Linked DNA regions of Rattus norvegicus. The main gene of each other region encodes a partner of the protein of the gene in region 2 in a complex. Links are inferred from orthologs where the notes say so. Each region holds a gene or a part of one and is shown on either strand. Other genes may lie near its edges.

What was found.
Region 1: B9d2 (region 2) and Tmem107 share a complex: the UniProt entries of both Homo sapiens proteins name them as parts of the tectonic-like complex. The link is inferred for Rattus norvegicus from reciprocal best matches to the Homo sapiens genes B9D2 and TMEM107.
Region 3: B9d2 (region 2) and Mks1 share a complex: the UniProt entries of both Homo sapiens proteins name them as parts of the tectonic-like complex. The link is inferred for Rattus norvegicus from reciprocal best matches to the Homo sapiens genes B9D2 and MKS1.
Region 4: B9d2 (region 2) and Tmem231 share a complex: the UniProt entries of both Homo sapiens proteins name them as parts of the tectonic-like complex. The link is inferred for Rattus norvegicus from reciprocal best matches to the Homo sapiens genes B9D2 and TMEM231.
Region 5: B9d2 (region 2) and Tmem216 share a complex: the UniProt entries of both Homo sapiens proteins name them as parts of the tectonic-like complex. The link is inferred for Rattus norvegicus from reciprocal best matches to the Homo sapiens genes B9D2 and TMEM216.
Region 6: B9d2 (region 2) and Tmem67 share a complex: the UniProt entries of both Homo sapiens proteins name them as parts of the tectonic-like complex. The link is inferred for Rattus norvegicus from reciprocal best matches to the Homo sapiens genes B9D2 and TMEM67.
Region 7: B9d2 (region 2) and Ahi1 share a complex: the UniProt entries of both Homo sapiens proteins name them as parts of the tectonic-like complex. The link is inferred for Rattus norvegicus from reciprocal best matches to the Homo sapiens genes B9D2 and AHI1.

The regions. Positions count from the first base shown.
Region 1 is NC_086028.1:54,269,477-54,274,079, reverse strand, and holds Tmem107 (transmembrane protein 107), read right to left. Parts: upstream 2,885-4,603; 5' UTR 2,754-2,884; coding exon 2,667-2,753; intron 2,490-2,666; coding exon 2,422-2,489; intron 2,364-2,421; coding exon of another isoform or gene 2,340-2,363; coding exon 2,239-2,339; coding exon of another isoform or gene 2,122-2,238; intron 1,406-2,121; coding exon 1,309-1,405; coding exon of another isoform or gene 1,114-1,308; coding exon 1,044-1,113; 3' UTR 560-1,043; downstream 1-559. UniProt on the Homo sapiens protein: Plays a role in cilia formation and embryonic patterning. Requires for normal Sonic hedgehog (Shh) signaling in the neural tube and acts in combination with GLI2 and GLI3 to pattern ventral and intermediate neuronal cell types.
Region 2 is NC_086019.1:90,320,403-90,323,799, reverse strand, and holds the end of B9d2 (B9 domain-containing protein 2), read right to left. Parts: exon of another isoform or gene 1,681-3,397; intron 1,330-1,680; exon of another isoform or gene 1,243-1,329; coding exon 929-1,242; 3' UTR 657-928; downstream 1-656. UniProt on the Homo sapiens protein: Component of the tectonic-like complex, a complex localized at the transition zone of primary cilia and acting as a barrier that prevents diffusion of transmembrane proteins between the cilia and plasma membranes.
Region 3 is NC_086028.1:73,158,881-73,162,683, reverse strand, and holds part of Mks1 (tectonic-like complex member MKS1), read right to left. Parts: intron 2,951-3,803; coding exon 2,908-2,950; intron 2,473-2,907; coding exon 2,407-2,472; intron 1,837-2,406; coding exon 1,757-1,836; intron 1,424-1,756; coding exon 1,354-1,423; intron 1,268-1,353; coding exon 1,160-1,267; intron 597-1,159; coding exon 463-596; intron 31-462; coding exon 1-30. UniProt on the Homo sapiens protein: Component of the tectonic-like complex, a complex localized at the transition zone of primary cilia and acting as a barrier that prevents diffusion of transmembrane proteins between the cilia and plasma membranes.
Region 4 is NC_086037.1:56,810,500-56,814,788, reverse strand, and holds the start of Tmem231 (transmembrane protein 231), read left to right. Parts: upstream 1-1,273; 5' UTR 1,274-1,284; coding exon 1,285-1,423; intron 1,424-1,525; coding exon 1,526-1,695; intron 1,696-4,289. UniProt on the Homo sapiens protein: Transmembrane component of the tectonic-like complex, a complex localized at the transition zone of primary cilia and acting as a barrier that prevents diffusion of transmembrane proteins between the cilia and plasma membranes.
Region 5 is NC_086019.1:216,623,455-216,627,961, forward strand, and holds the start of Tmem216 (transmembrane protein 216), read right to left. Parts: upstream 3,066-4,507; 5' UTR 3,050-3,065; coding exon 3,037-3,049; exon of another isoform or gene 3,023-3,036; intron 2,482-3,022; coding exon 2,380-2,481; intron 1,980-2,379; coding exon 1,887-1,979; intron 1-1,886. UniProt on the Homo sapiens protein: Part of the tectonic-like complex which is required for tissue-specific ciliogenesis and may regulate ciliary membrane composition.
Region 6 is NC_086023.1:30,365,974-30,369,776, forward strand, and holds part of Tmem67 (meckelin precursor), read right to left. Parts: intron 3,115-3,803; coding exon 2,960-3,114; intron 2,847-2,959; coding exon 2,738-2,846; intron 1,962-2,737; coding exon 1,884-1,961; intron 1,402-1,883; coding exon 1,336-1,401; intron 1-1,335. UniProt on the Homo sapiens protein: Required for ciliary structure and function. Part of the tectonic-like complex which is required for tissue-specific ciliogenesis and may regulate ciliary membrane composition.
Region 7 is NC_086019.1:17,703,775-17,707,577, reverse strand, and holds part of Ahi1 (jouberin), read right to left. Parts: intron 1,395-3,803; coding exon 1,292-1,394; coding exon of another isoform or gene 1,109-1,291; exon of another isoform or gene 1-1,108. UniProt on the Homo sapiens protein: Involved in vesicle trafficking and required for ciliogenesis, formation of primary non-motile cilium, and recruitment of RAB8A to the basal body of primary cilium.

The DNA.
Region 1 (4,603 bases), on a different chromosome or scaffold from region 2:
GGGTTAAGGCCTCATCAGAAAGGATCTCCTGGTAAGCATGAGGAGGGGCCAAGGTTGCTTTCCCCACACCGAGCCTAGAGTGCTTTCTAGAAGCTGGGCAAACAATCAGCAGCAAGGCACTTGTTGTCATAGAAATAAGGTCTGAGCAATCAGTCAGTCATATACACAATTACTAAAAGCACCTTAAAGTCATGGCTCTGACCAGTGTTAGGAGAAATTTCAGGAGCACAGGACAAAATTCCTAAATTCTATCAGTCAGTACATGCGAAATAAATATGATCGTCAGAGAATCAGATAGGAGCAATCAGGATGTTGTCAGGTCCTGATTACACGGAAATGCTAATCAGCAGATCATGCAAGCTCCAATCATCATTTTCTATCTGCCCTCCGAGAGGAGGAACAGGTAAGGATTAACCTCCTGACGATAAAGGACAAAGGGAGCCCATTCCTAATTAAGTAAAGACATTCCATATTAAAGAAAGGGTGAGAATATGACAATTTAGCACGAACCCAATGACTTATAGTTATTGCAACTCAAGAGCAATATCTATTTGCAAGTCGCCTGAAATATTTTATTTTTCCATTCGGCGCAGAAAGAGAGAAACAAAGTTCTCCCATAATGCTCCGCTCACATACAGCAAATTAGAAGCCCTATGTGAGGTTCTTATTTACATATTCCCGCCCACTCACTTCCGCCTATTTTGTACCGTAAAAATCCAAATAGAAGCATAAGCTACTAGCTCACGTACAGAAGGCTAGAAAAAAGCCTTTATTTACATCAGCCTTTTGATTTACCCAATGGTCTTCTGACAAATAGTCTAAGCCTTGCTCTTATTATAAAATGAATTTTATTACAAAACTCTAATAAAATTATAACCCAAGATTTGTGAGATCTTATCCCAACATTGCCATTTTCTGTTTAGACGCAGTTGGGAGGAGCAAAAGACTAGGGCGAGAGAAAACTGAAGCCTCTCCCTTTCTTCTTCCAGCAATGGGAGGGAGTTCATCACGTTTCCGGCTTTGGTCTCTTCATCGGATTGTGATCAGAAGGGTTTCTTTTTCAGCCCAAAGACAGCGATGAATAACGCAGTTTCAGTGACAGCTGGAAAAGCGCTGTGGAAGTAGGGGGTGGGTTTAGAGCCCCTTCCGACCCAAACACTCAAACCTCCAAGCCTTATATGTGAGTGGGTTAGCGGATGGGTACGACTCTTTAAAACTCTACCAATTTCACATGTGCAGGAAAGGTCTAGGTGGGGGAAACCTTCAGATTTGGGGTAGACTTTCCACCACCCTCCATTCCAAAATAACCTGCAGAAGGCAAAAATGTACCAGTACGTGGTACATTCCCATCGCTCGAATATGAAGAAAGATAGGGCCACAGACGCGCTACAGTGGGCTGCAATGGCTTAAAAATACAGCAGAGTCAAGGAAAATAATAGGTAAGTGATGGGTCCCTTTAGTACTCGGACTTGGGCTCAGCTTGTTCCCTTCCCTTAAGACAAACACCAGAGTTGGCAGCCATGCCTTCTGAATTTGTGGACACTTATGTGTAAGAGGCCAGAGCTGAGTTTGTTTTGATAGGACCTCTCCCTGTACACTTTTGGGAGTTAATGTCACATATGCCCTAGGCCTCACAAGAATACCTACAGGTCTGATACACTGTGGGAATTTCTCCAGTGCTCTGGTCCTCCTTGTCCACAACTCAGAGTCAACGGCTATCTTTTTTTTTTTTTTTTTTTTTTTAAAAAACAGGGTCTCTCTATGTAGCCCTGGCTGATTTGGAACTCACTATGTAGGCCAAGCTGGCTTCGAACTTAGAGATTCACCTGCTCCTGCCTCCCTAGTGCTAGGATTAAAGGTTTGCAACATCACACCCGGGTATCGAGAACCTTCCTATGTGTCTCATTTTCTTGGTCCCTTTTGAGTTCCCACAATGGTTTGTATTTTGCACACTCCTACAGAATACTGTTTAATCACACTGATTTACAGATGTTTATCCATCTCTTCCTCAAACAGGATAAAGTGGTTTTACTCCCACTCATGGATCGCCAGAACCTGGCTCACATCAGGGTTTAAGGTTTGAAGTCTATTAATTCCCCAAAACTGTCTAAAACCTCTCACCTAGAGAGATTCGCTTTGCCACGTAGGGCAGAGACTTGTGCCCAAAAGGCCTACAGAAGTGGAAAGAGTGAGTGGTGATGATGTCGCATGGGGACGCTGGCCAGGCAGAAAGGATACAGAGGAGGCTCTGGGTGCTATTAAACATGGAGACTCCTGAGAGGAAGCCAGCCAGCTCCACTGCAAAGAGGCCCAGGGTGAGGCAGAGCGCTGCTACCAGTCTGCAGAGAGAAAGGGTGATGGACCTGGGTTTCCGGATTGCGTAGAAGACCCTGGCACTCTCACCCCGCCCCAAGAGCTCACTGGTTGTCCTGCTTCTCATATTCCTCCGGGGTGAACTTGAGAGGCAGGCAAGCCTGGATGTTGCTTTCCTGGTGAGCCGGGCAGAAAGAAAGAAAGAAATGTCAAAAGAGGGATGGGGTTGCGGGGGACGGGAGCAACGGACCCAGTGTGGGTCTGTGGGAGTGGACTGAGCTGAGCTGGGTCCACTCTAAGGTGAGAATGGGAGGGACAAGAAGACACGCGCGCGCGCCCTGTCCACGTCTTACCCGGGACCAGAACAAAGTGATGACAATCACCAGATGAGCCAAGAGCGTCAGGAATCGAGAGGGCACGAGCCCGGAGATCCGACCCATGGCCTCGGGGGCCCAAAGCGGAGGCCGTAGAAGTCTGAGGAGGGTCACTCATCAAGTCTCCCAGAGCAAGCAGGCCAGACCTCTCTACTTAAGCCTCCTTCCCGCGTGCTCAGGCGCCGCCCGGTTGCCATGGTAACTGCGTCCTCAGGCGCCATGCAGCTGCCTCCGGAAGTCTCGCGATAGTGCTGCGCCCTCTGCAGATGTCTATAGGCCAGGTACCCGAGCCGATGCTCACCTCCTGGTGCTTGTGGGATGAATCCGGGAGGATGCACCCGTAACCACCAAATCCTCCCTTTTCCTGTGCTTCCCACTCACTGCCTTGGGCGCCAGGAGATGAGGGAACGAAGGAGTAGAGCTTCAGCACCGAGCTTTGCCCCACAGTCTCGCCAAGCCCTCCCCGCCCCCCCCCCACAGCCCCTGGTTGTCAGAGGGCTCCCTCTCCCACCCAAGACCAAACCTCTGCCGATGAACGACTCTAATTTCTCCCTAAATAACTTGTCTCGGTTTCATGAAAGATTTGCCGAGTGCAGAAATGAGCAACCTTGGAATGGGTAGAATAGGATGTGGGTGGATGAGGTGACAGCCTCCTCGGGATCCCAAGGGATCTGAAAAGGTGAAGAATGGAGTGGGGGACTAGAACAGCTTGTGCGCCCCTGGGAGGCTTAAACCAGGCTGATTCACCACCGATTTCACTCTCGCTTTGAGTTGCCAGGCCGCGGACATTGCTCAGTTACAGACCCAGAACCTCTTCTTAGGGTGATGTGACTGATTTGGGGCTTCGGATGAAATGCCTGCGATCGGAAAGTTCTCACTACCATCCCAGTTCACAATCAAGTCCCATTGACAATGAACCTCCTCCTTTTGCACCCCCTCTTCTCTCATTTCTCTGTGTGTGTGTGTGTGTGTGTGTGTGTGTGTGTGTGTGTGTGTGTGCCTCTAAACCAGCCTAAAAGACAAGACCCAGAGGGATTTCATTCATTCAACAAATATCTGATGTCTCCCAGATGCCAGGCACTGTGCTTGACTCAGAATACATCGATAAAGTCCCTCCAGTTTATATTCTAGGCAGAGAGACTGATAACAAAACAAACAAACAAAACAAAACAAACAAATACACACACACACACACACACACACACACACAAAACCCCAACAAAACCCTGCAAGGTAATGTATGCTGTAAATTTAAAAACTTTAAAGGGTGACACTAGAATAATATCAAAGGAAAGTTTTGAAATAGATAATTCCTAAATTTTCGTTTCAAGGAATTGGGGGGAGGGGGAGAGAGAGAGGAAATGTTTCTGTCTCCCTAAAGTAATACATGGGGTCCCCTTACCTAAACCAGTGAGTAAAAACATTTAGAATGCAGAGTCAACGTTTTTTACTTAAAGGTCATGAAAGACAGGCTGGAGTTCTTCCCACTGAGTGGGGGATAAACCTAACCTAACATGAGATCCCAAACCAGACAAAAGACACCCCCCACCCACACACACACTCACACTTTCATTATAAAAGACTGGTGGAATGTTTGACAAACAGTATAGTATTTGTAACTTAAATAACAACAACGTAGATTTTTTTAATTTTTTATTTATTATATATGAATACACTGTAGCTGTCCTCAGACACACCAGAAGAGGGCATCAGATCCCATTATAGATGGTTGTGAGCCACCATGTGGTTGCTGTGAACTCAGAACCTCTGGAAGAGCAGTCAGTGCTCTTAACTGCTGAGCCATCTCTCCACCCCCAATGTCCTGATTCTTTTCTTCAGTATTGGAGATAAGCTTTTGCATATAGGTAATAGGTAAGCACCCTCCACTGAGCTATACTTCCACTTTCCCTTCTGAG
Region 2 (3,397 bases):
GGCGGCGGCGGCTGGTCTCAGACTCTGGGGCCTCGGACGGCTCCTCCGCTGCTCCCTTGCCGGCTCCCAGCGGAGGCCGGTTCCGCGGGCGGCTCAGAGCCGGGGGTGCCCCGAAGGGGCGTCCCCCCTGCCCCGGCCGGGGGCCTAGCTGTCTGGAGGATCCGCGGCGGGAGGAGGAGGGGGACGGCCTGGGGCGCGAAGGGCGGCGGCGGCGGGACCGGCTGGGGCGGCGGGGGTTTTGAAGCCGCCCCGGCCCCACCCAGGAAGCGCACGCGGGGCGGGGGCAGCCCCAGGGGGAGGGCATGGGGGGGCCACTGTCTTCATCTAGCGTGGGCGGGCTCCGAGGGGGGTCTCTTCAGCCCTGCGGGGAGGGGGCGGGCACCCCGGCCCCGCCCCACCTCCAGGGTGCTGCCTCCTGGCGGCGGAACACTACTAGAGCTGGTGACCAACAGAAGCGCCCCCCGTGGGTTTGGGAGTTGTTGAAGGGTCAAAGGGAAAATTGCGACTTCGTGAGAAAACAGGGTCCTATATTAGAGGGCCTAGGAGGCATAGAGCGAAAGGTAGGGGCAGACTTTGGGTTTGCTGATGAAAGTGTCAAGGAGGATTAAATAAGAAGACGGACATCTGAGAACTGCAGCGGGTACGAGGGGACACCTTACCTATGAGAAATGCATGCTTTTATTAAGTGCCCCTGACAGTGCCAAACAGCATGCTCTCCTCAAGTCCCTCCAACTCACAGACTTTTACCCGGTAATTCAGTGGAGCATGGGCCACAGGGGTAGTTCCTGGCCTTGCAGTCCATGGCATAAGGGCCATGACTTGGGTGAGATCAGGACTGACAGTCTCCAGAGTCTATGTGCCTGTTTCACTGCTGTGCCGTCGTGTGCGCAGGGCTGTGGATGATGGTGACTGGTGGCAGTGAAGTCCCTCAACACTCCACACCGTAGCGATCAAAGTGGCGCAGCAGCAGACCGATACCAAGGTGCACTGTGCCACCCGCGGCCGTGTGCAGGCGGTAGCGGTCGGCCCCGCTGTAGATGGTGTCTGCGTGCAGCAGCTGTGGCCCGCCACCCACGAAAGCCCGTGCTAGCTGCTCCCTCCAACTACCCAGGGGCCTCCATGTAGGGCAGTCCAGCTGGTGAGTGCCTGGGCTGCTAGGCACATGGCAAAAGCCATAGCCAGCAAGCTGGCAGCGGCCAAAGCTGTCCTGGGACCACACCTGGAGATGAAGTCGAGGCCAACCTGCAGGACAAGAGGGGTCAGAAAAAAGGACAAAGGAGGCAGACCTGCCCCTGGGTTCCCATCTCCTTGAAACCAGTAGAGACTAAGGTACAGCCCTTTTACGTTGGATTATTGCCTTAATTTCCTCTCTGTGTTCTCATCTCCCATCCACTCCACATAGTAGTCACAGGGATCTATAGAAATCCACATTACCCTCTTGCTCAAAACCCATCCATGGCTCCCCTGTGCCACAGTACAAAGTCCAAGCTCTCGAGTGTGAAAACTCATCAGGGCTGGCCTCATCTCACCTCCCTTCATGGTCTCTCTCTCCAAAGCCCCCAGGTCAGGACCTCAGCTAAGACCCCTTCTGCCCTCTCTCCTTATGGACCTGCTCTGCTCTCGCCCACCTGACTCAAGTTTCCTTTCTTCCCCAGTGCAACCATCTCTCCCATTCTTTAGGTTCCTAGTGGCCTCAGAGCACAGCTGAATGTCCCAGCCTGACAGTCCAATGCTTGGACGTGCAGCCCAGGTCCCCCGCTACCCTGAGCTCCTCCCTGGCAGGCCCTGTTCTCCAGGCTGGGGACACAGCAATGAACACAGCAGACAAAAATTCCTGCCCTGTGAAGCTGACATCCTAGACAACCAACATAGTAAATAAGTAAATTATAGGGTATGTCAGATGGTGATAACCGCTCTGGGGAAAAACAACAGCCAGAAAGGGAGGGGTGGAGATGTAGCTTGGAAAAGTGGGGAGCAGCTAAAGGAAGCTTTACTAAAGATGGGGACATTTGGGCTGAGCACTGCAGTGTACAGCTGGACTGTCAGCTCTTGGGAGGTAGAGGCAAGAGGATCCCTGCAAGTTCAAGGCTAGCCTGGGCTACACATGAGTTCTAGGCTATACAGGAAGACCTCACCTGGAAGGGTGCACACTTGGGCTGCTGAGGTTCCAGGCTGGCCTGCACTATGTTCTCAAAAGCAAACAAAGCAACCAGGATGCAACCGGTATAGAAATGCTTAAAGGAGTGGGCTAGCTAGGCACCTAGGGGGACGAGATCGTCAGTGCAACAGTTCTGAAGTAGGAGCTGGCCTGGTGGGCCCAACGGGACTAAAACAGGGAGTCATGGGGGACAAAGGACAGAGGTGACCTCCAGATTACATGGGGCCATGTGATGCTAGAGAAGACTCCAGCGTTTGCTCTGAGAGACAGGAGATCTGCAGGAAGGTTCTGTGCAGAGGAAGAACATGGTCGTATTTGTGTCCTCCCAGGGTCCGGTGCAGTCCCAGACCCTGATGCCTGGGTCTGGGAGCACAGTGAAGACGGGAAGGAAGAATGGTCCAGGTAAGAGAAGAAGGGCAGGATTTAGCTCAGTGGTAGAGCGCTTGCCTAGCAAGCACAAGGCCCTGGGTTTGGTCCCCAACTCCAAAAAAAAAAAAAAACCCAAAAAACAAAAAACAAAAAAAAAAAAAAAAAAGAGAGAAGAAGGGCAGAGAGGGCTCAGTGGGGTGGCTGGGGTGAGAAGCAGAAGGAATGGGGTGAGAAGCAGAAGTGGGTTTCAGAGCCCCTAGGGTTTGCTGGTGAACAGCTAAGTGAGAGAGACTAAGAAGCAAGCAAGCAGGGAGGAAGCTACCAAAGGCCAGAACTGAGGCAACAAGGACTCAGTGCTCACACAGAAACTAGTATGCTGTCCAAGGGGAAAATCTGACCCATCCATTTCTTCCTGGGCTCCCCAGAGCCTTCAGGAGAGAGTCTTAGCACCTTTGCAGCCAAGGCCCTACATTCTGTCCCTACCTCCCCATCCCCTGCTGTTCTCTCCCGCAGACGTCTAATACCCACGTCGTCTAATACCCACGTCTCCGGCTCTCTGCCTCCACCCTCTGCCTTTGTCCTTGGGACTAGTTAGCTTCTCCTGGCCTTTACAGCAGAGCTCTAACCCCTCTGCCATATAAGGCCATGGGACCAACCAGAGATGACTTCTGGGTCTCCACGGCCTCTGGGCTGGCCCCATCTAGAAACGGGTCCATCTTCTACCTAGAATAGAGGCCCTGAAGACAGGGCTTGGAGGGTCCTGTCTTAGTTGGGGACATCCCTTCTCAAGCTGGGCAGGCACAGACTCAGCAAACTGACAACTGACTGACATTGCTGAAATACCCGGGCAGCTTCCCAGCAAAGCAGCAC
Region 3 (3,803 bases), on a different chromosome or scaffold from region 2:
GCGGAATCCAAAGCGGCTCAGCCGCTCCCCCTGGGCAGACAGCGGAGACAGAATGGTTTGTGAGGACTAGACCAGGGCGCTGCTGCCATCTGGATTCCTATTCTCAGGTAGTACAGCATCACTGAGTAACTTTACTCCGTTATTCAGACAGCAGCATCACAAGGGGCGCCAGGCTCCACCCTCATTTAAGAATGAGCAAGAAGCAAGAGTGCTTCTGGCAAGTTCATTCTGCATCCGATTACCAAGGCCTTCAGTGGTAGAAAGAAGAGATCTCTAATTACACAGCTCCCCAAGGACCCCTTGTATAGATATTTGTACCTCTAAAATATGGGCAGGCCTGGCAGCATAGGCCATAAGCAGGGGCTATATACCATGAGTACCATGAGCACGCTCAACAATGAGAGGAGGGCCACAAACAGGAATGTAAGTTCTCAGCCTGAAGTCTCCCCAGAGATGAGTCACCTTGAAGGTTCCTGGTATCCTCACATAGGATGGGTCCTCCAGCTCCAGGGAGCCACCAATGAAGAACCTCCTTAGCTCTGCCACGAGGCCCAGCTCCATGGGCCTCCACGTGGAGGCAGTCAAGGTGTGTGATCCTGTGCAAGGAAGAGGGGGAAGGGGCCGAGTTCCATCCCTGACTTCCCAGCAATGACCTGGGTTGGTGATGACCTGGCAAAGGTTAGCGTGGTGGGTGACAGTGCCTGACTGGAAGACAGGAAGACAGAATCTGAGCTATTCCAGGCATCGCTGTGCTCTAGACAAGCTTGTCAACCTCTGAGAACCTGCTTCTCTTTTGACCTTAGTAAAATGTAGAAGCAATCAGGACACTACGCCTCACAGAGGGGCTGGGAGAATTAGAGGGGGTTTACTACAGTCCCTGGCACACAGAAACTTCTATGGTTGGTGCAGCTTCTCTCTCAAGGTCTAACTGGAGGACTGCGGTATGTGACAGCCCATCAGGCTGCTGGACCAGGTCAGTTCCGGTTTCACAGTGTCTCTTATGGGAAGGGAGAAATTCCACAAAGCAGCAAGGGATTTTTCCAGTTAGAGCTCCCAGTTCCTAATCCTCTCTCCTTATCAGGAGCATCAGAGTTTTTGGGAAGTGCTGGTCTTGTCGATAGGAGAGAGGGCATCGGGAAGGGCAGGGACAAGAGGTTACCTGGGGTGACAGGCAGCACCACAGCCCCGTAGCCTTCCACACGATACCTCTGCCAGAAGTCCAGTGAGAGGACCTTACAGTAGAGCACGGGCCACTCTGGGAGTGATTCTGGAATGTGAATGAGGTGGCACAGGGACCTTTGTTAAGAGAGGACCCTGGCTGTGGATTAGTGAGGCTGAGGGTCAGTTACTCACCATCTGATTCATCCTCATGGAGGAAGAAGGCTTCAAACGTGAATGGAAAGGAGAAATAGGCCACCTTGTCCTGGAAAAGAGGAGTGGGGTGTCATGTTCAACTCAGTCACAGGGAGGACAAAGCCTCATTGGAAGGGGTTCTCTGTGCCCAGTGACAAGGTCACCTTCACACAGGGGAAAGGAAAACTGTCCGACTGGTAGGAAGCCACAGGCAAAGGCACAGCTGAATGTGAGCTGCTGCCATTCTCTAAGAGATCAAAGAGCAACTCTGGCCCAAGCAGCCCCACGGAGCCCACACAGAAGCAGCCCCAACTATGGCTCCTCCACAGAGAACACAGGGTTTGGCCTGATGAAGCTTCAAATGCCACCCGGAGCTGCTATCCCCTGGCAGACACCCTCTCACCCTCCATACCATTCCCAGGGATCTGGTGACACAGGTCTGGGTTACTCCCGAGAGCTGCTGGAATGATGGGCTGGACCAGTCTGGAAGCCAAGGAGCAGACACAGTAAGCTCATGAGAGAGGGTGGGAGGCCATGTGAGCAAACAAAGCCATGGCAGGGTTCCTTCACACATTCATTTGCCCACCCACTGGTCCACACAATGTCATTTGTTGAGTCTGCTGTAGGCTGATATGTTTGGAGGCTTTTACAGCCAGATTGTCTCTCCTGGAGCTAATAACCTACTGTGCCTATGAACAGGGCAAGAGACATAGGTGTAATTAAGCTATGGAATGGGTGCAGTCGTCCCCTAGAGAGGTAGAAAGTAACACAGGTCAGGTTTAACCTCAGAGGTGCTCAGTTTAGGGCCAGCAGGAGAGGAAGAAATTCACCCAGCCTGGAGAGCCCTCAGTGAGAAGGCAGGACTATGGTGCCAGAAGCCGAGAGGAATGCTTCATAAAGAAAAGTGAGCTATGTCAGGTGCTTCAGACAGGCCAATGTAGTGGAAGGACGGGGGCACCTTTAGAATTGAAATGTGGAGGTGACCTGTGACCTTGACTGGTTTCAGTGGGAGTGGACAGAATGTCAGAACAGAAATGTCTGAAAAGCACTTACTCGTAGCTGGCAGCTCCACAAAGAAGTGGACATAGAGGTTGTCATGCTCATAGCCTCGGGCTGAGACTGAGAGAGAAAGCAGAATGTAAGTTTAGCTTGCTCTCTTACTACCCTTACCACGCAGTCTAGTCTGTCTTCCTTCCTTTCCTTCCTTCCTTCCTTTGTTTCTTCCTTTTTTTGAGACAGTTTTTCTCTGTGTAGTCCTTGAACTCACTCTGTAGACCAGGTTAGCCTCAAACTCACAGAGATCCCCCTGCCTCTGCCTCCCCAGTGCTGGGATTAAAGTTGGGTATCACCACCACTCAGCTACTCAGTCTAGTCTTGAAGGGCCCAAATGCCCTGCAAAGAAAGCCTTCTCGGGGCCCAGGAGCCTCAGTTTCCAGAAGACTCATCACTCAGCTTCCCAAAGACCATGTCCAGCCCAAACTGAGCCAAGGTGAGTAGCTACTCTCAGCTCCAACAGACTCTCTACCTAGCCTGGCTCCAAGATAAGACACTTACCTACCTCTCCATTCACAAAGAGCCGGAGGGCACCCGGGGCAATCTACAGCAGAGGGAAATGGGAAGGTATCAGGTCTAGAGGGAATCAGCATGCCCCACCTCCAGCCCTGTCCCCAAATCTGCAGAAGGCCTTACACTGGAAGAACAAGCTTGGCCACACTCTGCATGCTCTCCACCCTGACACTTCTCTAGGGGACGCTTTCCTATTCCTAAGACCCTCCGAGTAACTGCACAGTATTTCAGTATTACAGTATTACTGTATTACAGGGCGGTCACTAGAACTCACAGGCAGCCAGCTTTTCTTCTTTAGTTGTTTATGCCATCTGTCTGGCTTTTTTTTTTTTTTAACATGAAAATCTTGCTCATGGAGCAGAAAACATTACAGGTTAATTTTCTAGAGAAGGAGTGTGGGGAGGGTGGTGATGGTGGTGGTGGTGGTGGTGGTGAGTAGTTCTACCTTTGTTTGCGGGTCTAGAAATTGGTGGCGGGAAACACAGAAAGGACCCCAGAGACTGACCTAACCTGTTTTAGTTTTTGTTTTCTAAGATCCAAAACATTTGACCAATAAAAATGACATCTCTTTGCCTATCTAAGGTGTTATGGAATAATATCCACGTGAGATATGAGGAAGGCATTTTTGATCTTTATAGTGTTTTTAAAATTAATTGTAAATTAATGCATGGCTGCATTACCACTGATAAAACTCTCCAAACCACCAAACCCCAGAGAAGTCAAAATGCCTGGTATGGACTTCTCACTGCCCAATACGCAATGACCACTACCCACCCAGCCTGTCCCAAGAGAGAGGCCAACACAGCATGTGTGCCCTTTCTGACCCCGTTCTAGGCACGCAAGGGCCCATGTCAATATGCAGGGTCATGGAGGAAAGAAAATCG
Region 4 (4,289 bases), on a different chromosome or scaffold from region 2:
GTGTATGTCTATATACCATGTGTACCATATGTATGCAGTGCCCACAGAAGTTGTTGGATCCCTTGTGACTGGAGTTACAATTGGCTATGAGTCACCATGTGGGTGCTGAAAGTCAAACCTAGATCCTCTGGAAAACGGGCCATTCTCTCCAGCTTACTTACATGTTATAACATTTATTTAGTATTTATGTAATATTCAGATAAGCACCATGACAGGCCTGTACAGGTCAGAGGACGGCCTTTCCAGAATTAAGAGATATAATTGGTGGGCGCCGGAGAGAAGACCCAGGGGTTAAGAGCTCTGACTGTTCTTGCTGAGGACCTGGAGAAAGAATCAACGGCCAGCACAGTCTCCATGGTAAGACCCTACTTCAAAACAGATAAAATCTGTCTTTCACGTTAAGATATTCCTGTTAGTAGTTACCTAAGTGATTCGCTAATGCTAACTTTGAGGAAGACAATATCAGCGTTTATACCTAAGTACACCAGAAGGAGCCGTGTAGTAAATTACCCTCAAACCTTTGAAGAACCAAGGGATTTGTTTCTCGTTTTCTATCTTTTCTGCTACGGGGCAAAGTGAAAGCACTAACTTTGAAGGCAAAAGTACCTGGTTCTAGGACTGTGGCCCTTTTATAAGAGTGGGGGGGGGCGTTGGGGGGGTTGGGGATTTAGCTCAGCGGTAGAGCGCTTGCCTAGCAAGCGCAAGGCCCTGGGTTCGGTCCCCAGCTCCAAAAAAAAAAGAAAGAAAAAAAAAAAGAGTGGCCGGACTTCAGTATGAACCATACTGGAGTTTTTCCATTGAGATACAGTCCCGCATATCTCCGGCTGGTCTCTAACTCAGTGTCGCTAAAGATGACTTTGGACTTCCGGTCCTCCTACCTCCATCTCAAGAGTTGCTAGTATTACAGATGCGGGTCACCATGCCGGGTTTAATGAAGTGCTGGGTATGAACTCAGGGCTTCCTGCATGGTAAGCTAGCTAGCCTTTTACCAACTAAGCTATATCAACCATCCTATGTTGTGAGTTAATAGATGACCTATGGGGAGATGTCAACATCTATGCACATCTGATTTTGTACAACTGACACAGACTTTGGTGAGTGGAAATGTTGTTTCTGTTGCTTTCTTGAAGGGACCCACGGGAACCGAATCAAAATGCATGTACTAACTAACACAGAAACCTCCTCCCGCTAGCTCCACCCCTTACTAAAGGCCTGCGTGCCTGCTATTGGTTCCTCTGCCCGCCGTCGGTTGCCGTGGAGACTCCGCGCTGCGGCCCTGGGCTCATGGCGCTGTACCATCTCTTCTCTCACCCGATCGAGCGCGCCTACCGCGCGGGGCTCTGCTCCAAGGCCGCTCTCTTCCTGCTGCTGGCCACCGCGCTCACCTACATCCCCCCGTTGCTGGTGGCCTTCCGGAGCCACGGTAAGCCTGCCTGGGTCTGGAGGGCCACTCGGTTCGGCGCGGCCCGCGGGCCCAGGCCGGCTATCCTGACCCGGCTCCCCCAACACGCCTTGTCTCCCGCAGGGTTTTGGCTGAAGCGCAGCAACTACGAGGAGCAGCCGAACGTGCGCTTCCAGCACCAAGTGCTGCTGGTGGCTCTACTGGGGCCCGAGCCGGGAGCCTTCCTCGCCTGGAGCACGTACCCCACTTTCAACCGGCTGCAGGGGGTTCACCTGCGCGTTCCGCTCGTGTCGGTGCGTGGTTCCCGCCCGGACCCTGGGGGGAAAGCATGGGGTGAGATCCCAGTTGGGTCATTTGACGGGCTGTGGGGGCAGTCTCATGTATCCCAGGCTGGCCTTAAACTATATAGCCGAAGTCGTTCTTCAACAACTGATCCTCCGGCCTCCACCTTCCCAGGGCCAGGAATTTCTGCTATGCAACGCCGTGCTGGGGGTTGTGGGGTGCTGGGAATCAAACCCAGGGCTTTTTGCTTGCATGCGAGCACTTTACCACTGAGCCAATGCTCAGTCCCACAGCTTGGATCTCAAGGATCCACCGGGGTTGGAAACAAAGTCTCTTTGGCCCGCGCATGCTTAACTTTTTAGATAGTTTTACTCAGCTTCTTGAGGTGTCCCCAGACAATCAACCATGCAGGCGGTATGTTTGGTGGATTTGAGTCCAGAAGCCAGAGCACTGCCTGTCTCTGGTGCTGGTCACTTCTGAATGAAAAAGTGGCTGTGAAAACCCTTTTAAGGGCTTGAAGGCCGGGTTCTGTAGACGCCAGGATGTCGCTGAATTTGAACATCACCAGGCTGTAAAGACAGAAAGTGCCCGCATTTTTTATGCAGACTGGACGTAGGGTAGGGAAAGCGCTGATTGGTTGAATTCTCGACTCCGGCTCTGGCCAAGCCACGCCTGTCTGGGTTAGGCTCCTAACTGGGTTCCACACTGCAGCTGTCTCCTATGAAACTGGAACATTTTACTGTCTGCAGTTTAGTGTTTGCTTTCGCATAAATCAAATGCTTCCTTACATTTCCTTTAGTCGTATGGGACATCTGGCTTTCCTACATTCAAATGTGGATCCATTCGGACAGGTCTGATTATTAGCCTAGAAGGCAAACTCCTGTAGCTGAAGGGGCGGGTGCGTGGCAGGGGTGTCAGACTTTCTCCCCACAACAGGTAAATAAGATAGCAATATGCAAAATCTAATTCAGATTACTTGGTTCTCATATATATATATATATATATATATATATATATATATATATATATGTATAATTATTTTTTTCCTTATCACAAACCTGTTGACAGAAAAGTGAAGGCTCACTGTGGTTGGTATATGTATCAGTACTTGTTAACCAACCGAGTTTGTTAGTTTTAAGATCTGTAGCTTATTCAATGACATGAGCAGAGTGATGAATTTAAATTGCCCCTCCCCTACGTACACAGCAAGCTCAAGGCTATTCTGTGTCAAAAGCCGGAGCCCTGGCTCCTGAAGTCAGAGGCACAACATGGAAGGGGTCGGTTCCCTCCTGTCACTCTCCCAGGGATCCAGCTCAGATTCCCAGGGTTGGCTGCAAGGGTCTTTACCTGCTGAGTTATCTCATTACCCACCCTTACTCCTTGATGTGTTTTTTTAAAATTTTGCCCCAATTATTTTTATTATTAAAATTATTGTATGAATTAAAGCTTTTAACTAAATCTTACGGCTTTTTTATTCTTTTGTTTGTTTTTTTCTTTTTTTTTTTTTTGTTTGTTTTTTCTTTTTTTCGGAGCTGGGGACCGAACTCAGGGCCTTGCACATGCTAGGCAAGCGCTCTACCACTGAGCTAAATCCCCAACCCCGGCTTTTTTATTCTTTTTGAGATGGCTTATTGCCTTGCTTGTTGCCTGCCCAAGCTGGCTTTGGCTGAAGCAGTAAGTCCCGTTCAGCCCCCTAAGAAGCTGGGACAACAGACGAGTACCACATGCCCAGACTTATGTCATACACCTCTGAATGCCAGCGGAAGCTTTTTGTTGAAATTTCATGCACATAGAGAAAACAAAGCAAGCAAAGAAAACAATTATTTCCTGCAGGGAAATAAACCTCGCGAAGAAGCAAGGAAGGAGATGCAGTCAGGGTTGCGAACAGGACTTGCATAGTCATCGTCTTAGACAGAATGCTGACTAAGCAAAATGTGCATCTAGGGAAACTGAAGGGATCAGGGGAGCGGGGAGATGCCATGGGGTCTGGTGGGAAGGGGAGGAAAACGAAGGCTCCGGCCTTCCCCTGTGGAATGTCGGTAGAGAATACTCAGAAACAGAAGTAGACTCTCAGCAAATCTTATTAAAAACATCGGGAAACAGAAGTAGACTCGCAGCAAATCTTATTAAAAACATCGGGAGAGTGCTTCTTTGTTTTCGTTTTTCCGAACAGGGTTTCTCTTTGTATCCGTGGTTGTCCAGGAACTTGCTCTGTAGACCAGGTTGGCCGCGAACTCAGCAATGCCCCTGCCTCAGTCTCCCCGGTGCTGGGATTAAAGGCATGTGCCACCATCACCCAGCCTGGGGAGCAGTTCTAACACAGTCATTAGGTAACTGGGGCATAAGTGTTTGCTTTGGATGTTAATTGTTTTTTTTTGTTTTGTTTTGTTTTTTTGTTTTTTGTTTTTTTTTTGTTTTTTTTTTGTTTTTTTTTTTTTTTTTTTTGTAGCATCACTGAACTCTTTAAATCTTCAAATGATTAAGGCTCTTCCCCCACACCACCAACACATACCCCTTAGTTTTTTGAGAATGCAAGGCATGTGGTCCAGGATGGCTTGAAACTGGATATGTAGCCTAGGTTGACCTTAATGACTTAGTATTTCTG
Region 5 (4,507 bases), about 130 Mb from region 2:
TCTTAACCACTGAGCCATCTCTCTAGCAGGGAATATTATTTAAAATTTAAGTCCCACTGAACTAAAACTTTGAGGTTTCAGGGCATTACATGATTAAAGTCATTTACTCCAGAGGCCCTGCTTTCATTCTGACTCTATCCAGGAACAATGGGATTCTGTATCAAGAAAAAAATGTTTGAGGCAGAGACAGTTAAAATCTCTTGAGTTTGAGGCCAGCCTAGTCTATATTGAGAGTTCCAAGACAGCCAAGGCTACACAAAGAGGCCCTGTTTCAAAAAAGAAAAAAGACAAAAAAAGCAACATATGAGCCAGGCATAGAAGTACACATTTATAATCCCAGCATGCACGAGGCTAAGGTCAGAATTGAGAATTCAAGTTCATCCTGGTCTCCTTGCTTCAAAACACCAAAACCAAACTGCGTATCTGTGTGTATACACATGTATGTTTATATCCACATGTATACACATAATTTATAAACAAAGTAAAATATGTATAGCTATAATATACATGTGTGTATGTAAATGTATATGTACGTTAAAACTTCAATTCATATGGAAAATAATTTAAGTGCATTAAAAATGTCTGTTCTTTAGGGCTACAGAGAAGGAGCACTGGGTGGTCAAGAGCACTTGCTGATTTCCTGAGGACCAGGTTTACTCAATGGCAGCTCAGCACTCTGTAACTTCAGTTCCAGAGGATCTGACGCCTCTCTCTCTCTCTCTCTCTCTCTCTCTCTCTCTCTCTCTCTCTCTATCTCTCTCTCTCTCTCTCTCTCTCTCTCTAAATAACTTTTAATTCTTACTTGTGCTTGTATGTGCCCACAAAGCCCAGAAGACAACATTGGATCCTCTGGAATTGGAATTAGACAGTTGTAAGTTATCTAATGTGAATGCTGGGAACTAAACTGGGGTCCTCCTGCAAAAGCAGGAGGTTTAAAAGTCCTTTTAAACCTCTGAGCCATCTCTAGCCCAAGACCTTCTTCTGACCTCTGTGGGTACCAGACATACACGTACTATACAGGCATACATACAGGCAAAGTATCCATAGACATAAAACAATGTTTTAATTAAAAAATATGTATTCTAAAAGCCAAATATGGATTCTGTACTGTATAAATCTTTCTTACTATTGCCAATATATAAAAGAAAAAAATGTTACCATGTTTTTCTTTGCTTTTTTTTCCCTTGTTTTTGTTGCTTTTCTTTACTAAGTTTGATCACATTGGCAGGTTTTTTTGTTTGTTTGTTTGTTTGTTTGTTTGTTTGTTTTGAGCTAGGATCTCCTTATACATCCCTGTCTGGTCTGGAACTCACTATGTCTAGGAACACATAGCCATCCTCTTGCCTCTGTCAGTGGGTACTGGGATTAAAGGCATGTGCCACCATGCTCACCTTAGCAAGGTTTTTGGTCTTCTATATGTGAACTGACTCTTAGTGTCCCTTACCATTTTTCTCCCTTGGGTTTGTATCTTAACACTGGGATGATATGTTCTAAGTAATCAGCAGTTTTGCTCTGTGTCTCTGGTGTTTAAAAGCTTCTAGAGGAATCCTTGTTTAGAGAAGTGGAGGGAACCTTAGAGTTCTTTAGGAATGTACTGCTTTACTCTCTCAAACAAAGCAAGGAGAAGAAGCAGGCACTCTTGTAGTAGTCAGGCAACTGGAAAGGAATGAGCTAAGATCAAATGCTACTGCCAGTTCTAGCCTCACTTAGAAACACACAGGTAAATCTTGACCTAAAATACAAAGCAGCAGCTTGAAGCCTTAGGGAGGAAGCAATCAATGGTATACATTACACAGACCCAATCTCTGATAGTGAGCCTAGGTTATCAAGTTTCAGGCTCCAGCATGTCTCATAAGCAATGGAAATATTTTCTGAACAACACTCACCAAAAAACAATCGTATTACTTCAATGCCAAGATAAAGGAGCAGCATCACCACATCTAGGACTAGGTTGGCTGTTGGGTATGGCAGCAGGAGACCTACAAGTGTAAAAGCCAGAGTATGTAAACAGCCCCCACATCCCCACAAGGCTGCCACACATCCAGGGACAAGGATACTAGTCTTAACTTCTCATGAATCAGTTAGCAAGGTATAGATTGTTACAGCCACAGGCTTTAAGTCTAGAAGTCCTGACTCCCAAATGACTGAATTATAACGGTACACAGATCTGAATATTTCAGTAAAGAGGGATGGGGAAGCCCACATTTCTCAAGTTCAAGACTTGCTGAAAGACTTCCTACTTGATCATTCCAAAGCCACTAGTTGGAGAGACTTCTGCCTTGCAGTGGAGATGCTGCAGGGGCCAGAAGATAGAAGGTTCTTGGAGTAGGCTAAAGTAGAAAAGGGCTGCTGAAGCAGGCCAGTTAGGCCCAGCCTTACCTTTGTACAGGAAAATAAGGAGCTCCAGCAGGAAATAGGTAGCATAGTACCACCCATTCAGAAAGAACAGGATTTCCAGAGGGGTTGAGGACAATCTTTTATCTGGGAAAAAAAAAAAAAAAAAAAAAAAGCAACACAAAGAATGGACAGGGCAGCTGGAGCTCTGCCCCGTTCTGTGTAATGATTCTGTGTAATCTGTAGAAAACACAAGGTTATTGTGAATGAGGGAGAAACTTCTGGTTGCTAAGAGTGTTGATGTGAAGGGAACTGCCTTCAACCTCCTTTCCCAGGAATCACTTTAAGGTCGACTTCTCTGACAATTAAGCTATAATCACAGCCGAGAGGCACCTCAGATATTCAACCCTGTCACTACTGAAGAGGACATTGGAGCACAGAAATTTGCTTAATTCTGTCCAAGGCCGGAGGATTCGTAACTGGGCCATCCCAGAGCAGGGCCAGCCTGGAATTTTTAAGAGTACAGTATCCGAGTATCCATGCAGCCACTCGGGGTGGTCTGAGCAACCCAAGCCCAATTCGGACAAGTGAAGAGTAAGACCCCAACTTTTAGAAATGGAGGATTAGGTAGAGCTCTGGAGAGGGGCCTGGCAGGTACCAGTGGGATATAAGGGGCAGAGACACACACCTCCAGAGTCTCACCTCGCGGCGCCATGTTCAGTCCCCATGGAAACTGCGTACGCTGCAGCGCCCGGGGCAATGCAGCGCTGCCGGAAGCGCGGCACAGAGGCGCCCGGGTTTTCTGGCCGCTCTGCCTGCGAGTGCTACTCTATGGTTACCCCACCGGCCGCGCCCTTGCACGGAGCAACGCCCGCGGTCAACAGCGGACTGTGGTCTAGGGAGAGGATAAGGTTATATACGAAGGCAGAAAGAGCCCAGGAGACCCAAACAGCTCTCGAACTGAACTCTCCACCCCTGGCGTCATGGTGTTGGGCTTCATTGGCCGGGTGCGGCCGAATACTTGGAGGAGCGGCCCCAGGCCCACCATTCTCTTTCTACTGCCATGTGTTAGTTTAGAAAAAAAAAAAAAAGCAGCACGGCATGCCACTGTGCACAAGGCTTACCTAGGGCCCATTGACGCAACAAAATCCTGTGGAAACACCAAAACCACTGGAGGTAGAATGACCTTTCTAGGACATGTGGTAAACAGCGGTGCTATAACGTGGCTCTCCTGCCACCCAAAAAGTGCAAAGGTGTTGAAGGGAGACAGTTTATGCCCAGGTAGAAATTGAGAGATGTTTCCAACAAGCTTGAGTTAAGAATCCTGGCCGCAATTCGAAGCAAGAGCGTGTTGTTGCAGGCCGCAGAGTAAAAGAGTAAGACTTCTGAAAAGACATGGGTTGACTCTGCAGTCAGCCCTTAGAGTATGGCAGTCAGACAACAAATAACTGGAGAGAGTAACTAACCTGTAATGAAAGTGTTATTTCCCTACCTAGTGAATAAAAGCAGTAATTGTTGCTTCTCAAAGACCTAAAGCAGCTGGAGAGATGGCTCAGCGGTTAAGAGCACTGCCTGCTCTTCCAGAGGTCCTGAATTCAATTCCCAACAACCACATGGTGGCTCCCAACCATCTGTAATGGGATCTGATGCCCTCTTCTGGTGTGTCTGAAGACAGCTACAGTGTACTCAAATTTAAAAAAAAAAAAAAAAAAAAGACCTAAAGCAATTCCTCACCTGGAGAGAATAATTTAAGCAGAAGCCTATTTCTATCACTCCCCACCTCCACCTCTGCTTTCCTGCCTCCTTCACTGGCTTATTCTGGTCTGGTTTAGTTTGACTAGACAGATCTCCCTATGTAGGCTAGGCAGGCCTCAAATTCTCCTGCCTCTGCTTCCCGTCCAGTCCTGGAGTTTCAAGTGGGTGTCACAACGCTCTGGCAGGTCCTAAATGGAATTTTAATCCCCACTATCAAGAACCAGGGCAAGATGAGGTGATGGAAAGAACCCTGGTTCCTGCACCCCAACTGTGCTACCTTTACACACCTCCTGCTCTGAACCTCAGAGCAAAGGAAGGTGGACCAGTTGCTTGTTTTTTTTAAATTATGGGTCTTAAATCACCCTGCCTACACATATTGTGTACACAGATAGCTCTCATGCTACAGTGAAAAGTTTAT
Region 6 (3,803 bases), on a different chromosome or scaffold from region 2:
ATGTCAAAACACCTTGTAGGCCACTTCTGACCATAAAATTCACGTTCACGGTAGAAAATTAGGAAAATATAAGATATAAAACAAAAATCATCTCTGGCACAACTGTCCAATATTAATCAATAAAAATGTTTATTTTCCTCCAATGACTTTTTCAGGAAGGCACTGTTCACTGGGGTTTTGTTCTGTGTGTGTGCACATACAAGACGTTAAGAAACATTTTTATATGCTACTGAGATCTTTCAAATGTTACCATTTGTACCATACTGCAGTGTCAAAGTGAAAGAAAGTCATGACAGGAAGGAGAAAGGGAAGTCTGGAGACTGGTGTGTGTAAGGGAGGTTCTGATACTAAGGTCTCCTTCCTTATTTGGTTCTTGATTTGTCAATAAAGAAGGCCAGGAGCCAATTGCTGGGCGGAAGGTACAGGCGGGATTTCTGGGTCGCAAGAGGAAAAGGAGGTGCAGAGAAGGAGAGAAGGGGCTTTTCTGTCATGCTTTGGGGGAAGGAGGATGCTGCAATCATGTAAGGCCTCGGGGAGAGACAGGGCCTGCAGCCTCAGCTAGGGGCGGGTGGCCCAAGACACTTGGCAGGGCTACTTGGAACAAGCCACTAAGTCTAGGACAGAAGGAGAGACGGAGATAATAAATTGGTAAGGGCACGGATTTCCAGGCAGGAGAGAGTTGTGCCCAGCAATTGTGCCTCGTGGGCAGGTTGTAAAGCAACAGAGCGGTCTGCGTGTCTTTTGTCTGCAGATTCAAGGGTTTTGGGTGGAAGCTGGTGACGAGACTCCGGAACCTGAGGTGGGTAGAGAGAGAGGCTGGCTCAGGGCTGGCAGTGGCCACCCTGGAGCTAAGCCGGGGGTGGGGGTGGGGGGATGGAGAGGGCAGCTGGTAGTGCAGCGGCTCACAGGCAAAGGTGGTAGTGTGTTCTTAAAATTACACACAACCGGGATGTGGTAAAAGAAAGAGAAGGAGGCACTGTTGTTTTGTTGGGCGGTAAACGGAGCAGAGAATTACGTCTTTAGTAGCCTCTAAACACAAGGTAGTATTTTACATTTGTTCCGGAGCGCTCAGCAGGGGCGTTCTGTGGAGGACACAGAAGCCTACCTGCGTGCAGTTGCGGAGCTGACCTTGAAAGTCACACACTGTAGAATATTTAACTCTGTAGATGCTAAGGAACTTTCGTCTTCAACATTTTCTATGCCCAGACCATAGAAGATTTATTAATTCATGAAATTGTTCTTACTATTAAAATAATTTGAGTTAAAAAAATTCACCTATCATTCCAGTCACTTGAATGAAGGGAAATACAGGCTGTCTAACAGAGTCACACTCACGTTTTGCTGGTACGTTGTTCCAAAAGAATATGCAGCATCTAGTCTTCTCTCGGTGTCTGGACAAAGCTTCGATAGAGAATACAACTGGTAAGTGTCTCTCACAAACGCCTTTGCTGGAAGAGCTCTGTGGCTCCCATGTGAACAGATGCCCTATCTTCTACTTTTTTAATGTATGAAGGCCACAAAAAGCTAAGGATGTATTAACAATTTTAATATTGGCAAGATGGCTCAGGAGGTAAGGGCACGGTCCACCACGCTTCAGTCTCTGGGACCAGAAGGAGAGAACGGATTTACACAAATTGTCCTCAGTCCTTCCTACATGTAACATGTATGCATGAACACACACACATGCGCACGCGCGCGCGCACACACACACACACACACACACACACACACACACTGACTGTAACTTTAAAGTTCTCATTTAAAGCATCAGGAATGCTTTCACTGATTCTCTTCAAGCAATACTCTGTCTGTCTGTTCCTCTACTCTTTGCTTCAGACAAAAATAAAGTACATTAGTAATACCTTAGCTGGACTCATACTTACCTGTAGAACACCACCTTTTACAGTTTGCCATCTGATGAAGTTTCCTCGTATATCGTAGGAAGCAGCAACAAACTTCAGCTTTATGTTTTGGTTAGAGAACAACAGCAGTATTAAGTTAAATACGCTATGAGGGTAGTTTTCATTACTGACTACCTTTTCAATGTTAGCACTGTTTTTGTTGAAATTTTAAATCCCACCTCATTTATTTGAAATTAACCCTACTATCTATATAGTTCAATATACTTTAAACAGGACTGGTGTTTTGCAGAAGTGTTATTTTAGGATTTAGGGGCAGCACAGTGGCAGGTACCTTCCTCTCAGATCTGTTACATGAGATGAGTATGGGGAAAGACATAGGACCTTATTCTGGAAAGCTCAACGGTTAGAGGTGAGAACTAGGAGCTGTGACAGTCTGTGACATTCTGTAAGCACATGTGATAGACAGGTGTTTGCATTAGGTGATGAAATGCCTCTTCCCAACCCTCCAAGGACCACCATGCCCACACAATCCAGATGTCTATGCAGCAAAGTGAGACAGCCCAACCCCGCACTCATTTCTATGAGCAGCTGATATTTACATAGCTGAGTATGTAAACTTTGTATGTTTAAGTATGTTTAAATACTTAAACAATATGTTTGTATTGTTTGACTATGTAAAAAATCTTGGAAACAAGTATAACTAGTGATTGTGTCTTTTTTCTGACACTGGGGACTGAGGGATTGAAGCCAGGTCTATGCATGTAGGTCGGGCAGGCGTGCCACTCCTGAGCCCTACCTCTAGCCATAGTTAGTTTTCTATCTTAAAGTTTGGAGATCATGTGTGGTCACTGCTCCCATTGTACAGGGACTTGTACCTGGTTTTGTCCTTTAAAACTGAAATTTGTAGGAAGAGGGGTAGTACTGAGAACTTGAGAAGCCAATCCTGGCTGGTCTCCGTAAAACAGCCAAGGAAGGTTCTGTCTCCTACAAACAATCAGACTCGGCTTAATAAATGGAAGCAATAGTTCATATTATTAGCATTCATGAAATAGCACTGAATTCACTTGGGAGTATTTCATCAATCCCAGTACCCTCACCAGAACGGGACAGAATGCACGCCGGTCAGCCCAGCAGCGCCTTCGAAGACGTAGTGGAACAGTCGGCAAGCATCGAATGTAGTCGAGTCGTAAGAGTTCATGTTCATCACGCACATATTCCCGAGAGCTTGGCAAGATGTCAGGTTGCTGTGAGTCTACACAGGAAACAGGGCTCATTAGCAGGGAAGCAAAAGTTAAAAGAAAATTGTCTCATTTTAATTGTATCAAATCTACTAATTACTTTGTATTTTACTTTTGCCTTTGTAATACTTTTTCTGTAGCTCAAGTAGACAATAATCTTTTAAGTATTTGTATTGACATGTCTGTGGGCTTTGCCTGCATATGTGTCTGTACCATGTTCATGCTAACAGAGGCCAGAAGGCTTCGGTTTCCCTGGGATTGGAGTTACAGATGGCTTTGAGTCACCATGTGGGTACTGGAATCGAACCTGGGTCCTATGCAAGAGCAACCAGAGCTATTAACTACTGAGCTATATCTCTAGCCACCCCCCCCCCCCAGAAAAACTCAATACTTGAAGAATAATAACAATTTTAATTATAAATTTTAGGCAAAATATTAGCCTAACTGAAAGAAGCACAAATATATAGAGAATGACATTTTAAAGAAACTATTAGAGGAAATAGTTACATTTGAAGGAATACTGTGATTGTATGTTACATCTGAAATAGAATTTATTCCACTTTGCTTGAGTAAACAAAATAAGATCATTAGTTGAGTTTAATCACTCACATTTCTTTCCCAGTTTTCCCTATCTGGAAAAAAAATAAAAACAACAAACCAACTCCACTTTGTTATTCAAGTAAAACACTTTAGAAAGAACTTA
Region 7 (3,803 bases), about 73 Mb from region 2:
ATGTTACAGGTACAAATCCTTTAGGTGACATTCTATTTCAGCCCAGTTATTATTACAGATTCTTTTTTTTTTTTTTTTTGGTTCTTTTTTTCGGAGCTGGGGACCGAACCCAGGGCCTTGCGCTTCCTAGGTAAGCGCTCTACCACTGAGCTAAATCCCCAGCCCCACAGATTCTTTTTAAAAACAAATTTATTTTTATTCTTATGGGCACGGGTGTTTTGCCTGTATGTATGTATGTACGTATGTATGTGTGTACATATGTACGTATGTACGTATGTATGTAAGTACGTATGTACGTGTGTACGTATGTACGTATGTATGTATGTATGTACAGCCTGAGCTGCAGTTGCTGAGCCAGGTTCCTGACGTCACTGTTTGCACCCCTGACACGCATGATTTTAAAGTTTCCATTGCATAAATCCAAGCGTCTGTTTCAAACGATCCCTAGCTGGCAGGGTGTACGGCGTGTAGCTGTCACCTTAGGTTCTCAGACGCTAAGAGCCTGAGGCCAGCCTAGGAGACAGGAGCTGCCCTTCCCTAACAAACAGCCCTCACAGCTACACAGCAAAAACAACCAAAGCCCAGAGAAAAGCCTGAAATGTTTTCTAGCATGATTGTATACAAAACCATTCTCAGGATTATTTAATTATTCATCTAGGTTTTCTATACAAGTAGATTAACTTATTTTTAATTGAAAACGTTATAGAAACAGTCTAATTCTATCAAGCACAGTTAGGGTCACAACACTGAACATTTTGTTTCAACAAATGTCTGCCTACAGAGAAACGAAGGCGCCCACAGGCTTCCCTCCGTTTCTTACGCCTGCCCACCAACTCCATGCCCAAGGCCTATCTCAGAGGTAAGCGCAGCCCACTACCTGGTTTATAGCATAAATCCGCGTGCTTCTCAGGCCTCCTCCCACACCTGGACAGGCTTTCAAGGGGCTCTCGGCTCTCTGCAGATATTCCTATCTTCTCTCTGTAGAAAGATCTCCACGCTGTGTTTTCTACTCGATACCATACAGTCTGTCTCCCTGTTCACAGCCCAGAGTTTTGGACAGAAAGACTATTCTGGTGGTCTTTTCCTTTCAGGTTGATGACAGTCCAACTTACACTACTGCCTGTCCACCAGCACTCCCTGCAAGGCCACAATGGCTTCTTGGCTGCCATTCCCTGGCCAGGCCGGTGCTCTCTGGCATATGTAGACCAGGCTGTCTGGCATGTGTTCTTGGTGATGGAATAACTTCCTCCTCTTTTCTCTCACTGCTACCTTTCTGCTGATTTTCTCTTACCTCTATCAGGGTGACTTTGCGGACCGTTGGCTCACTTTTCTTCATCTCCATATCCGATTTGTGTCCTCGCTCCTCGAAGTTTTGATCTCTGCCCTTTTCAGAACTACAGGAAGGAAAGAGGCTGAGTGAGAAGCCCGTAAGGCAGCGGCTGGAGTGGATGAGATAAGGCGTGGATGTAGGGAAGGGACGGGATGGACACAGATGACAGGGGGGAGGGGCTGAGGGAACCACTGGGCAGAGCTACACACGGGATGACCCAGAGCAGTGGGGACAGCTGCTCCATCCTAGCCACAGAGAAGGGACAGGAGCTAGACAAATTCTGCCTGTTTGTTTCTGAAAAACATTTAGCTGCATGGGGAAAACCAGAAAGTTTTATCAACACAGATGGCGAACATGCTGTTATAGGATTCTCCTTAGTGGTGGAATGAAGAGGTTCCTAGGTGAGCTCACACAGCAACTGCAGAAGGCAATGAAAAGCAATGGAAACAGCAAGACATACACCATGGTTTGTTGTAGCACATTACATGTAAGGAAAAAGAATACAGAAACATGAAAAGAGAGAAACCCAGGAACTAAGAGACCAGTCTTTTCTCTAGAGAACGTGTGAAAGGTGGGGATTTCCTGAACAGAAGGTAAAAAGATGGAGAAATTTAAAACTCAGGCCTTCAGGAGGGATGATAAAGACCACTGTGTGCGCAAAACTGCATAGCACACTCATGTCGAGCCCTGGCTCTCCCGTGAGCGGATGGACAGGGACTTTTAGGGAGGGTGGACAAGTTCATACAGTTTTCTCCGGACAGAACCATACCAGTGTTTTAGGAGGAAAAGACACTAGAATCTCCTTGCCTGGGAGCACATGCATGCACACTCCCCACGTGTGTGCCCACAGAGGACACATGAAGCCATAGCGAGAAGGCAGTCATGTGAAAGTCAGGAAGATAGGCAATATTTTGAAGGCACAGTGTATCTGTGAAGCTTAGTAATGACAGGTTTGGAGAGATAGCTCAGCATGTGACAGCCTGAGTCTGATTCCCCAAATCTACATGGTGGAAGGCAAGAATTGACCCCTTCAAGCTGTCCTCAGAGCTCCACATGTACACCCTGGCACACAGGCACTGCCAAGTAAAGGAATATATGTAGAAAAAGAAATAGGTAAAATATTATTTATATGGACATTTCTTTTACTAAAGAAATAATAAGAATATATATGGATACGTAAGTTAAGGATATGCAAATTCCAAGCAGGTGAGACACATCTTGAATTCCAATGACTGAAACCACAGTCTGAGTCTATCAGGTACTGGTGAGGAAGCACAACTACCTTGCACACAGGTAAACCAATAAACAACGTAGGAAAACAGTCCCAGCCATTCCGGTCCTAATTGTTTACCCAAGAGAAGCGAAGGCAAATGTGTACACGGTGACTTGTACACAAATACTGATATTTGCAGTGGCTCCAAACTAGAGACTTCAAAGAACTTTTAACACGTAATAAACAGGTAAGTTGTGAAACTTGAAACTCTAGAAGGAGAGAGGAAAGCTCACTGGTTGTCAGGGGACAGTAGTTACAGAAAGGAAGAAATAGAAGGAAGATACTTTAAAAAAAAAAAGAGAAATTCTTTAATTGTGGTAATGGCTCATGGAGTCTACCTTTCTTAAAATCTGAAATGTGTAAGATGCTATTTAGTGTACATTATTTCACTAAAAGTGTTCAAAATGCCCATGTATATATATGGAATCAGGCTGAGCAAGTCGCGGGGAGCAAGGCAGTAAGCAGCACCCCTCCATGGCCTCTACAGGAGCTCCTGCTCCAGGCTCCTGCCCTGTTTGAGCTCCAGTCTTCATCCTCCAGTGGTGAGCTGTGACTTGTAAGTGTAAGCCAAACCAACCCTTTCCTCCCCAGTAGCTCTGTTCGTGGTGTCATCACAGCATTAGTCACCCCAATAGGGCAGGAGCATCACTGACCTGGTGCTTACCAGTTAGGCTACTGGCTGGCCAGTAACCCCTTGAGGATTCTCCCTCTCCATGTCACTGGGGTTGGACTACAGCCATGTGCTATCGTGTCTAGCATTTCCCCTGGGTTCGGGGCTCAAGCTCATGCTTCTGAGATAAGCACTTGCTCCCTGAGGTATCGCAGCCCCAGTCTGACCTTTTCTCACTAACCTCGCTGCTACATAATTTCCTTAGGAATGGCCAATTCTACTTTGAATAACTTTAATATTATCTTACCAAGTCTCTCTGGTTCATCCTTACCTACTAATGTGCATTCTTCTGTCAGATGTCAGACTGATGCTGAATGCTTGAGTTACTCCCTCTGTTTGACCAGCTCCTTTCACTTACTGTGAGCCTATAACCCTGGTCTCTTCATTCTCTCTAGACGGCTTTGTCCATTGCAGAAACCCCAACAGTTTCCTCACGACTGCACTGGAAAGCAGGTATGCTCTTGCGCACGCCCCTGTCTCAAGGCCTTTGCACTTGTCTCTCTCGCACACCACTCAATTCCCTTTTGCCT